Linked DNA regions of Rattus norvegicus. The protein of the gene in region 2 purifies or fractionates together with the protein of the main gene of each other region. This does not show direct contact. Links are inferred from orthologs where the notes say so. Each region holds a gene or a part of one and is shown on either strand. Other genes may lie near its edges. The genes, in order: Snrnp70 and Snrpa.

What was found.
Region 1: the proteins of Snrpa (region 2) and Snrnp70 purify together in Homo sapiens (affinity purification with mass spectrometry; 4 studies listed by BioGRID and IntAct, counting the BioPlex papers as one, with this or other methods). This does not show direct contact. The link is inferred for Rattus norvegicus from reciprocal best matches to the Homo sapiens genes SNRPA and SNRNP70.

Annotation. Positions count from the first base shown.
Region 1 is NC_086019.1:105,009,804-105,013,713, forward strand, and holds the start of Snrnp70 (U1 small nuclear ribonucleoprotein 70 kDa), read right to left. Parts: upstream 3,049-3,910; 5' UTR 2,865-3,048; intron 2,776-2,864; exon of another isoform or gene 2,454-2,775; intron 2,188-2,453; 5' UTR 2,178-2,187; coding exon 2,031-2,177; intron 1-2,030. UniProt on the Homo sapiens protein: Component of the spliceosomal U1 snRNP, which is essential for recognition of the pre-mRNA 5' splice-site and the subsequent assembly of the spliceosome. SNRNP70 binds to the loop I region of U1-snRNA.
Region 2 is NC_086019.1:91,615,385-91,619,294, reverse strand, and holds the start of Snrpa (U1 small nuclear ribonucleoprotein A), read left to right. Parts: upstream 1-1,252; 5' UTR 1,253-1,315; intron 1,316-1,751; 5' UTR 1,752-1,773; coding exon 1,774-1,846; intron 1,847-3,910. Other genes in the region: Actmap (actin maturation protease), read right to left, coding at 1-278. UniProt on the Homo sapiens protein: Component of the spliceosomal U1 snRNP, which is essential for recognition of the pre-mRNA 5' splice-site and the subsequent assembly of the spliceosome. U1 snRNP is the first snRNP to interact with pre-mRNA.

The DNA.
Region 1 (3,910 bases), about 13 Mb from region 2:
GGTCCTTTTTAAAAAACAAACATAGAAACAATCTTTGGTATTTACCCAAAGCATCAATTGCTGGGCATGGTGGCACACACCTTTATCCCTGCACTGAGAGGCAGTGGCAAACTGATCTCTGAGTTGGGAGTCCAGTCAGGCCTACAGAAAAAGCTCAGGACAAAAGAACATCAATCTAAATGCCTGTAGACATTTGACATTTGTCATGATATAGGTAACATGGTTGTAAGGTACAGTACCAAAGCTACCTAGTTCCTTCCCATAGCCAAGAACCCTGTCACAGAGGGCCAAATGTTAGAAATATGTCTGAAAGGATGGTGGGCAGGGCAGACCTCCAAAGCAAGACGATCTGTAACACCATGGCAAGTCATAAAATCCTCTCCAGGCTCTCATTAAATGCTAATTGGCACATGATCTGCAAAAAGGGTGCCACTGAGCTGTACCCATTAAAGTAAATGTTTATTGGATAATAACATTTCTCAAGTGGCATGTAGACAAATATTACTGAAGAATCACCTTTCTGTTATCTAGTAAATTCTACTTTTCCTACTTAATGTCAGAATGTTCTTCCTGAGACATCTGGCTATATGGCAGTGTTTCTTAGGTCTGCTCTGAAGGTGGGCATGACAAACTTTCTGCATAAGAGAACTGACTCCAAGGAGCTCAAGTGACTCATATGTACTCAGCAAGTACAGAGCCAACCCCTAGCTCCTAGCCTCAAGCACTGCAGGACGCACTGCTCAGCCCCAGCAAACACTATCCTCTTTAAAAACCACTTTATTTTTACATTTGTTTATTTAGATGAGGATGTATATGTATCACTGTGCATGTAGAGATCAGAGGACAACATGCTAAAGCATATCCTCTCCTTCATTGTGGATTCTAGGACCAGAACTCAGATTTCTTGGCAACAATCACTTTTCACTGCTAAGTCATGTCGTGTATGCAACCCTGTCCTCTTAATGACAAACACAGACATTTACTGCCTTATCCCAAATCCTTTAACAGACATTCTGTGACTCAGCTCTCCACTGGTTTCATCTTACTGCTACCTCTTGCTAAAGCTAAAGCTAACCTAATGCATTACATATGATGTTTTCTGGGTTAGTGGTAGAGACCTAGAACTCTGGCTCTTTGAGCAGAGTAAGCGTAAGTTCAAGGCTGGCCTTAGTGACAAAGGGAAATCTACAAGACCAGCCAAGACTCCACGAAAGACTGTAACCACTCCCCCACCCCACCCCCAACTCCCCTCCCGCAGGACAAAACAACAACCCAGACAGGGTGGAGATACACTTGCCAATGTAACCAATCTAGCCAATAAACTTGGGCAAGGGACTACCATATCCATACAAAAGATATTAACTCTGTGAGGAAATGAACCACTCCTGGAAGCAATACCTGCAGCATTTACAAGACTGAGGAAGAGGACTGCTATAAGGTCAAGGCCACACTGAGCTCTACACACACACACACACACACACACACACACACACACACACACACACAGCAAAATCCTGTCTCAAAACTCAACCAAAAGATGATAGTTCTTCAGGTTAAAGCTCTTGCCATCAAGTCTGAAAACCTCAGCTCCTGGACACACAAGGTGGAGAGAATGGGCTCTTGCAAGTTGTCCTCTGATGTTCACCGGTTTGCACATACACACCCACACATATACAAAAGTGTAATAAAAAAATTAAAACGCGGGCTGGAGAGATGGCTCAGCAGTTAAGAGCACTGACTGCTCTTCCAGAGGTCCTGAGTTAAAATCCCAGCAACCACATGGTGGCTCACAATCATCTGTAATGGGATCTGATGCCCTCTTCTGGTGTATCTGAAGACAGTGACAATGTACTCATATACACAAAATTAATAAATCTTTAAAAAAAATTAAAACGCACACAAAAGCACGAAACAATATAAGAAACAGTACAAGTCACACGCACGCACCACACAACTAAAAAGGTTTTGAAGCTGAATGCCTCAAGGTAGCCCGCCCCCACCCAGAAGCCGAACACTCCCAATGTGCTCACCTCAAACTCTCGGATATATGGTGCAATGCCACAGTAAGGTTGGTTATGGTGTTTTTCATGTGGCAGCTTTTCCAGGGGTGGCAGGTATGGGATGGGGTCTCGGGGTGCAAAAAGGGCCAGAAGGTTGGGAGGCAGAAACTGTGTCATCTTCCCAAATCTAAGACCAGAAACGTTATGTTAGCAATCTTTATTTAGAACAGGTTTCTTCTAGGACCCCTCCACTCAAAAAACAAAACAAAACAAAACAAACAAAACAGGCGTGAGATTTCCTGGATGCTGCTATCCCCTGCCTGAAAAAAGGCCTTGGCAGGAGCTAAAAAAAGGAAAGGCTAATAACACAGAAAACAAAGAGGAAAAGGAGTCAGGAGGTGTGGGGCCCAGGGATCCTGAAGCCTCGAGCTCTAGAGGTTGCTCGCTTCATACCTTCAAGATTACGAAGTAGGGGTTTCAAGGTAGGCCATAAGGATAATATCCCGTAAGCCAGGGGGCCTCTGCGTAAAATATCTAGGATGCCAGAGACGAAAGGAATTATGGGTAGAGGTCCAGGATGCGACCAAAAAAAAAAAAAAAGGCGAGGAAAAAAAGCAACACACAAACCGCAAGGGCCTGTGGGTAGGGGACCGCAGGAGATTGGGGGAGGGGGGACTCTGAGGGAAAGAGAGCCTGAGTGCCCAGAGAACTCTGGGTAAAGGATGGGGAACGCAGGGGGTAAAGTCTAAGGCACTGACCCGGGAAGCGGGCCACAGCCCCGGGGAAAGGGTTCGGGGCCCCGCAAGGGTTTGTGGGTAGCGGCCCCACACCCCGTTAAGGCCACTCATTCACCCACTCACTCACCGCGCGGCGCTCTTCTCGGCCTGACGTTAGTCTCAGGCCTCGCGGCCGCCGTTCACAAACAAAAACTCCCGCTCTGGCTTCCACTTCGGCGGTGCCCGCGTCAGGTATCCACTGTGGTCCGCGCAGCGCGCGCAAACCAGGCCTCTCCTCGCAACCCGCGCGGCCTCAGCTCGCGATCAGAACCGGGAGTGAATGCGACTCGAATCCCTCCGCCTTTCTCACTGCGCATGTGTTATAGGAACCGAAAGAAACCCTCACACAAGTCCGGCCACACCGCGGGCACTGCGCACGCGCAAAAGCTATAGGCCGCCTTAAATGCCTAAGCTTCCGCGGCCCAGCGACCTTATTACGCATGCGTTATCGGACCTAAGTCAGTCTCAACCTCGCGCTCTAGCTAACCGCCTATGACCGCGAGACACTTACAGATGTTCCACCCTTTTTCCTTACACTTCCCGGACCTTCGACGCATGCGTCTAGGTAATGCACGTGCACATATCCTTCCGCAGTCTGTCAAAGAGTGCGTACCTGAACAGGGTCTTTGCAGTTATGTTATTTAAGAGAGAACTCTTTCCCAAATTTCTCGTATGTGCTAGCCACTATTTGGTCTGGGGGACGCAGATCATGACAAAATACTCTTCTCCTTCCTGGAGTTCACATTGTTGAGAGAAAAGATCCATCCGTTTGGTATTTTTTTTCCTTTTTAATGTGTTCTGTTTTTTTTTTTCAGACAAGGTTTCACCATATAACCCAAGATGATTTTGCATTTTGTATCAGTGTGTGTTATTTATCTATATATGTTTATATATACATACATACGCGATAATATGTGTATATATATTTTCTTGATGGGTGTTCTTGTGTTTGTTTTTGGTTTTTGTTTTTCGACACAGGGTTTCTCCGTGTAGCCCTGGCTGCCCTGGAACTCACTGTGTAGACTAGGCTGGCCTCAAACTCACCCACCTACCTCTTGCCTCCTCAGTGCTGGGACCAAGGCACAAAACACACAATTCCAGGTTTTTTCTTCTACATCTTCTCCTTCTCCATTT
Region 2 (3,910 bases):
TTCTCCAAGGCCTCCTTCAGGAGCCGGCTGTTCTTCAGGCCGTAGACATGAGGGAGAGCAACCTCCACAGCAGAGGGTGGAGGGGGTGGGAGAGGGGGTGGTGGAGGGGGCGGGGGCGGAGGTGGGGGTGAAACAGAAGCCTGGAGACTACAAGGAGGAGATGGTAAAGCTAAGTCCGGGGGATTTGGGGGTAAAGGAGGTGGAATGTTGGTGTCTTGGGTCTCATGAATTATTGGGGGGATTATGGGTTTTAGGGGGAAAGAGCATTGAGAAGTCATTTGGGGTCTTCAGGAAGAATGAGAAAGAGGATCCTCCTAAATCTCTCAAGGATGGAGATTTTCAGTTTTTAAAAGAACTGGATGAGAGATATTCAGGCCTGCACATTAAGACCTGTAGAAAAAAATAATTAAAACTAGAACTGATTGCAGAATATGGTGCCTGACCAGTTGGTCTGGGAGAACCTGGGTTAGTATTTGAAACAGTGGAAAGAGAAACTGAGCTAAATCAAATGAAGAAGGCTGTGCTATGGGGCTGAGGCTACATTAGAAGGGAAATTTTGTAGGCGTCATCTCAGCAGCCGTAACTAAGCTAGTTTTGGTCACTTCTGTAATAAGGAGGTTCAGATCTGTTGTGAGGTGTCCAAAGGATGAGACTGGCCTACCTCACATCCCGGGCCTGAGTTTGAATCCTTGCATCTGAGCTAGGGTCAAGAGGTTAAAAAAAGACACGTAGGTGGGAAAACAACCTAATGGTGGGCAGGGTCAAGGAACCAGCCAGGAAGCATGAGAGTTGCAGCAGCTCAGCGATCAAAGGCCGACTAAGTTGGTAAATACCGCTCCACTAGAGAATAGAACCTAGGAATTTGCAGAGGCCCCTCCCCGGGAGGAAATGGCGTCACCCTGCCAGCCTCCAAGTGTCCTTTCCCATCCCACGTGGTAGAACTCGCAACCAGCACAACGCGCCTTGAAGGTCACGTGATACTGGCGGAAGGGGAAGAGGTGTGGCTCCCGAAAGGCAGTCTCCAGAATAGCACTGGAGCTCTAACCACGTCCCAATTGGCCAAAAGCTCGTACCCTTCTCTGATTGGTCCGTCCCCTCTCGGCAAGGGGGAGGAGCTTATCGCTAAGGCGGGAACGCAAGCGTTCTTTTCCTGGGCAGGCACTGAGGCCCGGGAAGAGACTTATTCTGAACTTACGGAGTTTGCGGGCCCTGATTAGCTCGCGGAAGGGGGTAGCCGGAACCAGGGAAGAAAGAAGCTGTGTGTCTTTGCAGCGTAGCTTGGCGGGCGCTGTCGGTCTGAGCGACGGCTTAGGTGGTGAGTTCCCGCGGGTGTAGACGCCGCTCGGCGCCGGGGAAGCGGGTGGAGCACTTGGGGAGGCCTCTCTTTTGAGAGACTAGGATGTTCCGAGTCGATCTCTACATTCTTAACTGGCTCCGACATCCGGGTTCTTTTTTCTCCCGGGTCGCCGTTCGCGCACGTGGACTAATGGGAAGAGCCGCTCCGTGTGCTCCGCCTGCCGGGGCTCGTAGTGCATTCTGGGATTCGTAGTTAATCTCTAGATCTTCCTTAACACGCGGGCTGGAGACGCGGAGTCCTAGGCTGGCTTTGTTGCTAAGTGTGCCATCCTCCCCCAATTCCGGTCTTACTCTACTCCCTCCTGGAAGAAAGATCCCTGAGCAGAGCCCACCAGTCCTTTAGAACAAAGAACTTGGGAAACGTAAGGCTAAATCGCTTTTTCTTCCTCCTTAAGCAGTACCTGAACATCTCACACCATGGCAGTTCCCGAGACCCGTCCCAACCACACTATTTATATCAACAATCTCAATGAGAAGATCAAGAAAGATGGTGAGTTCTTGGGGTAGCCTGACTCAATGCGATCTCACAAGAGTTGACCCCTTTTCACCTCTAGCACCCACGTTTCTTTTTCAGTTTTCCCCATTCAGTCTGTTAAGAATTGGCTTTGGCCTTTGTACATACTGGTTCCTTGGTTTCAACAGGCATTTTACACTCTGCCCTTTGATTTGCGCATTGTTAGTGATCTTCAAGGTTTTAGCTCACAGGTCCCTTCCAGGATTGCTCTCTCCATCGGTCTGGTGTTCTTGTGAGACTACCTCTGTCCACAAACCTCGGGGTGGTGGTCTCAGTGATTGGCTACAGTGCAGATAACACGCAGAAGCGATGGGCAGTGAATGGCTCTGTAATGGAGGTACAGGACTGTTATCCCAGCAGGTAGGAGACTGAGGCAGGTGGATCTTGAGTTCCAGACAACACTGGGCTACATAGTCAGACCCTGACACCAAAAGGATCGAGGAATGCCACTAGTGTTAGTCTTGTCTAGCGTGAGTAAGGATCTGGATTTAAGTCTCAGCAACTAAGAAGATCAGCATGGCCTGGAGAGGTGACCCAGTGGTTAAACAGCCCTCCCTGGTCATCCAGAGGATCCAGTTTTGATTTCTAGCACTCAAGGAAGGTTTGTAACTGTCTGTGACTTCCGTTCCCAGGGATATGACATCTTCTGGCTTCTGCAGGCAAAATACCCACATATTTAAAAAAAACTTAGAAAACTTTTTTTTTAATACTTTTTATTTATTGTATATAAGCACACTGTAGATGTCTTCAGACACGCCACAAGAGGGCATCAGATGGTTGTGAGCCACCATGTAGTTGCTGGGATTTGAACTCAGGACCTCTGGAAGAGCAGTCAGTGCTCTTAGCCACTGAGCCATCTCTTCAGCCCTAGATAACTATTTTTAAACAAAAATCCCGGCCAATTCAGTTTTTCTCTGGAAGGTAAGGCCCAGGGGTAGAAAGTTTACCTTTCTGCAAAGACTGAATCCCAGCACACATCTTTAAAAAACTAAACACAAGTAACTATATATACATAGTTGGTATGTGTCTATAAATGGATATGTGTGTGGGTGGGTGGTCAGGACGGCTCTAGAGAGGCCTTCCTCCTTCCACTGTGAGTTCCTGAGGTCATACTCAGGCTGTGAAGCTTGTGAAGTAGATGGATGCTCTACCACCCTTACACTGGCCCCTTTGTGCGTTGCTTTTTTCTCAGTAGCACTGAGAAGCTGAGGGAGGGTCATAGTTCTTATGACCAACTAGAGAAAATTGTCCGGGGAGGACCAGAAAGATGGTTCAGCTGGTACGCATGCTTGCCAATAAGCCTATCTTTCCCAGGTCCCACAATAAATGACTTCAGGTACCTGATGCTCCTGCCTCCAGCTCCTGATCCAGGAAATCCAGTGTTGAGATTCCGGGGTGGTGCCAGCATGTCCAATCCACAGGCTGGTAGCTGTTAGTGAGCAGTGGTCAGTAAGTGAACTTGTGACATGAACAGCAGGAGACAGGATAAGAAGAGGGAGATAAGGGGGCGTCTAGACAGACCAGTTGGAGAGGGCCTCCTGGAGGCTGCAGACTTGTGGGAGACTTTAGTGGCTCGGAGAGGGCAGTCATGGAGATGTCAGGAAAAGGACATCCCACTCAGAGTTCAAAGGCTGAGGAGTTGCAGAGACTGGGAGGTCCTGCTTGTGATCAGAGACTGAAACAGGAGGATTGCCTAGAGTTCAACTGCAGAATTGGACTGTGCCTTGAATAAGTAAGTGAGTGAATGAAAGGACTGAGGTTAGCTCATCTGGAGTGAAAGAAGTGTTTGTTATTTGAACAGCAAGTTCGTAGCGGGTATATAGCAGTCCACACCTTGTACAGCAGTGGACGTGTCCTTTGAGTGGTTCTTGGCTGTTTGTGTTACTGTACGCTGTTGAGCTGTAGCATTTCTGGGTATTCTGTCAATCGCCTGGTGGCCCGGCCCCTCATTTGGGCTGTCCTTTTTGTGTTTTTCTTCCTCCACCTCCATGCCAGAGTTTCTCAGTGTAGCCTGCCCTGGCTGTCCTGGACTTAGACCAG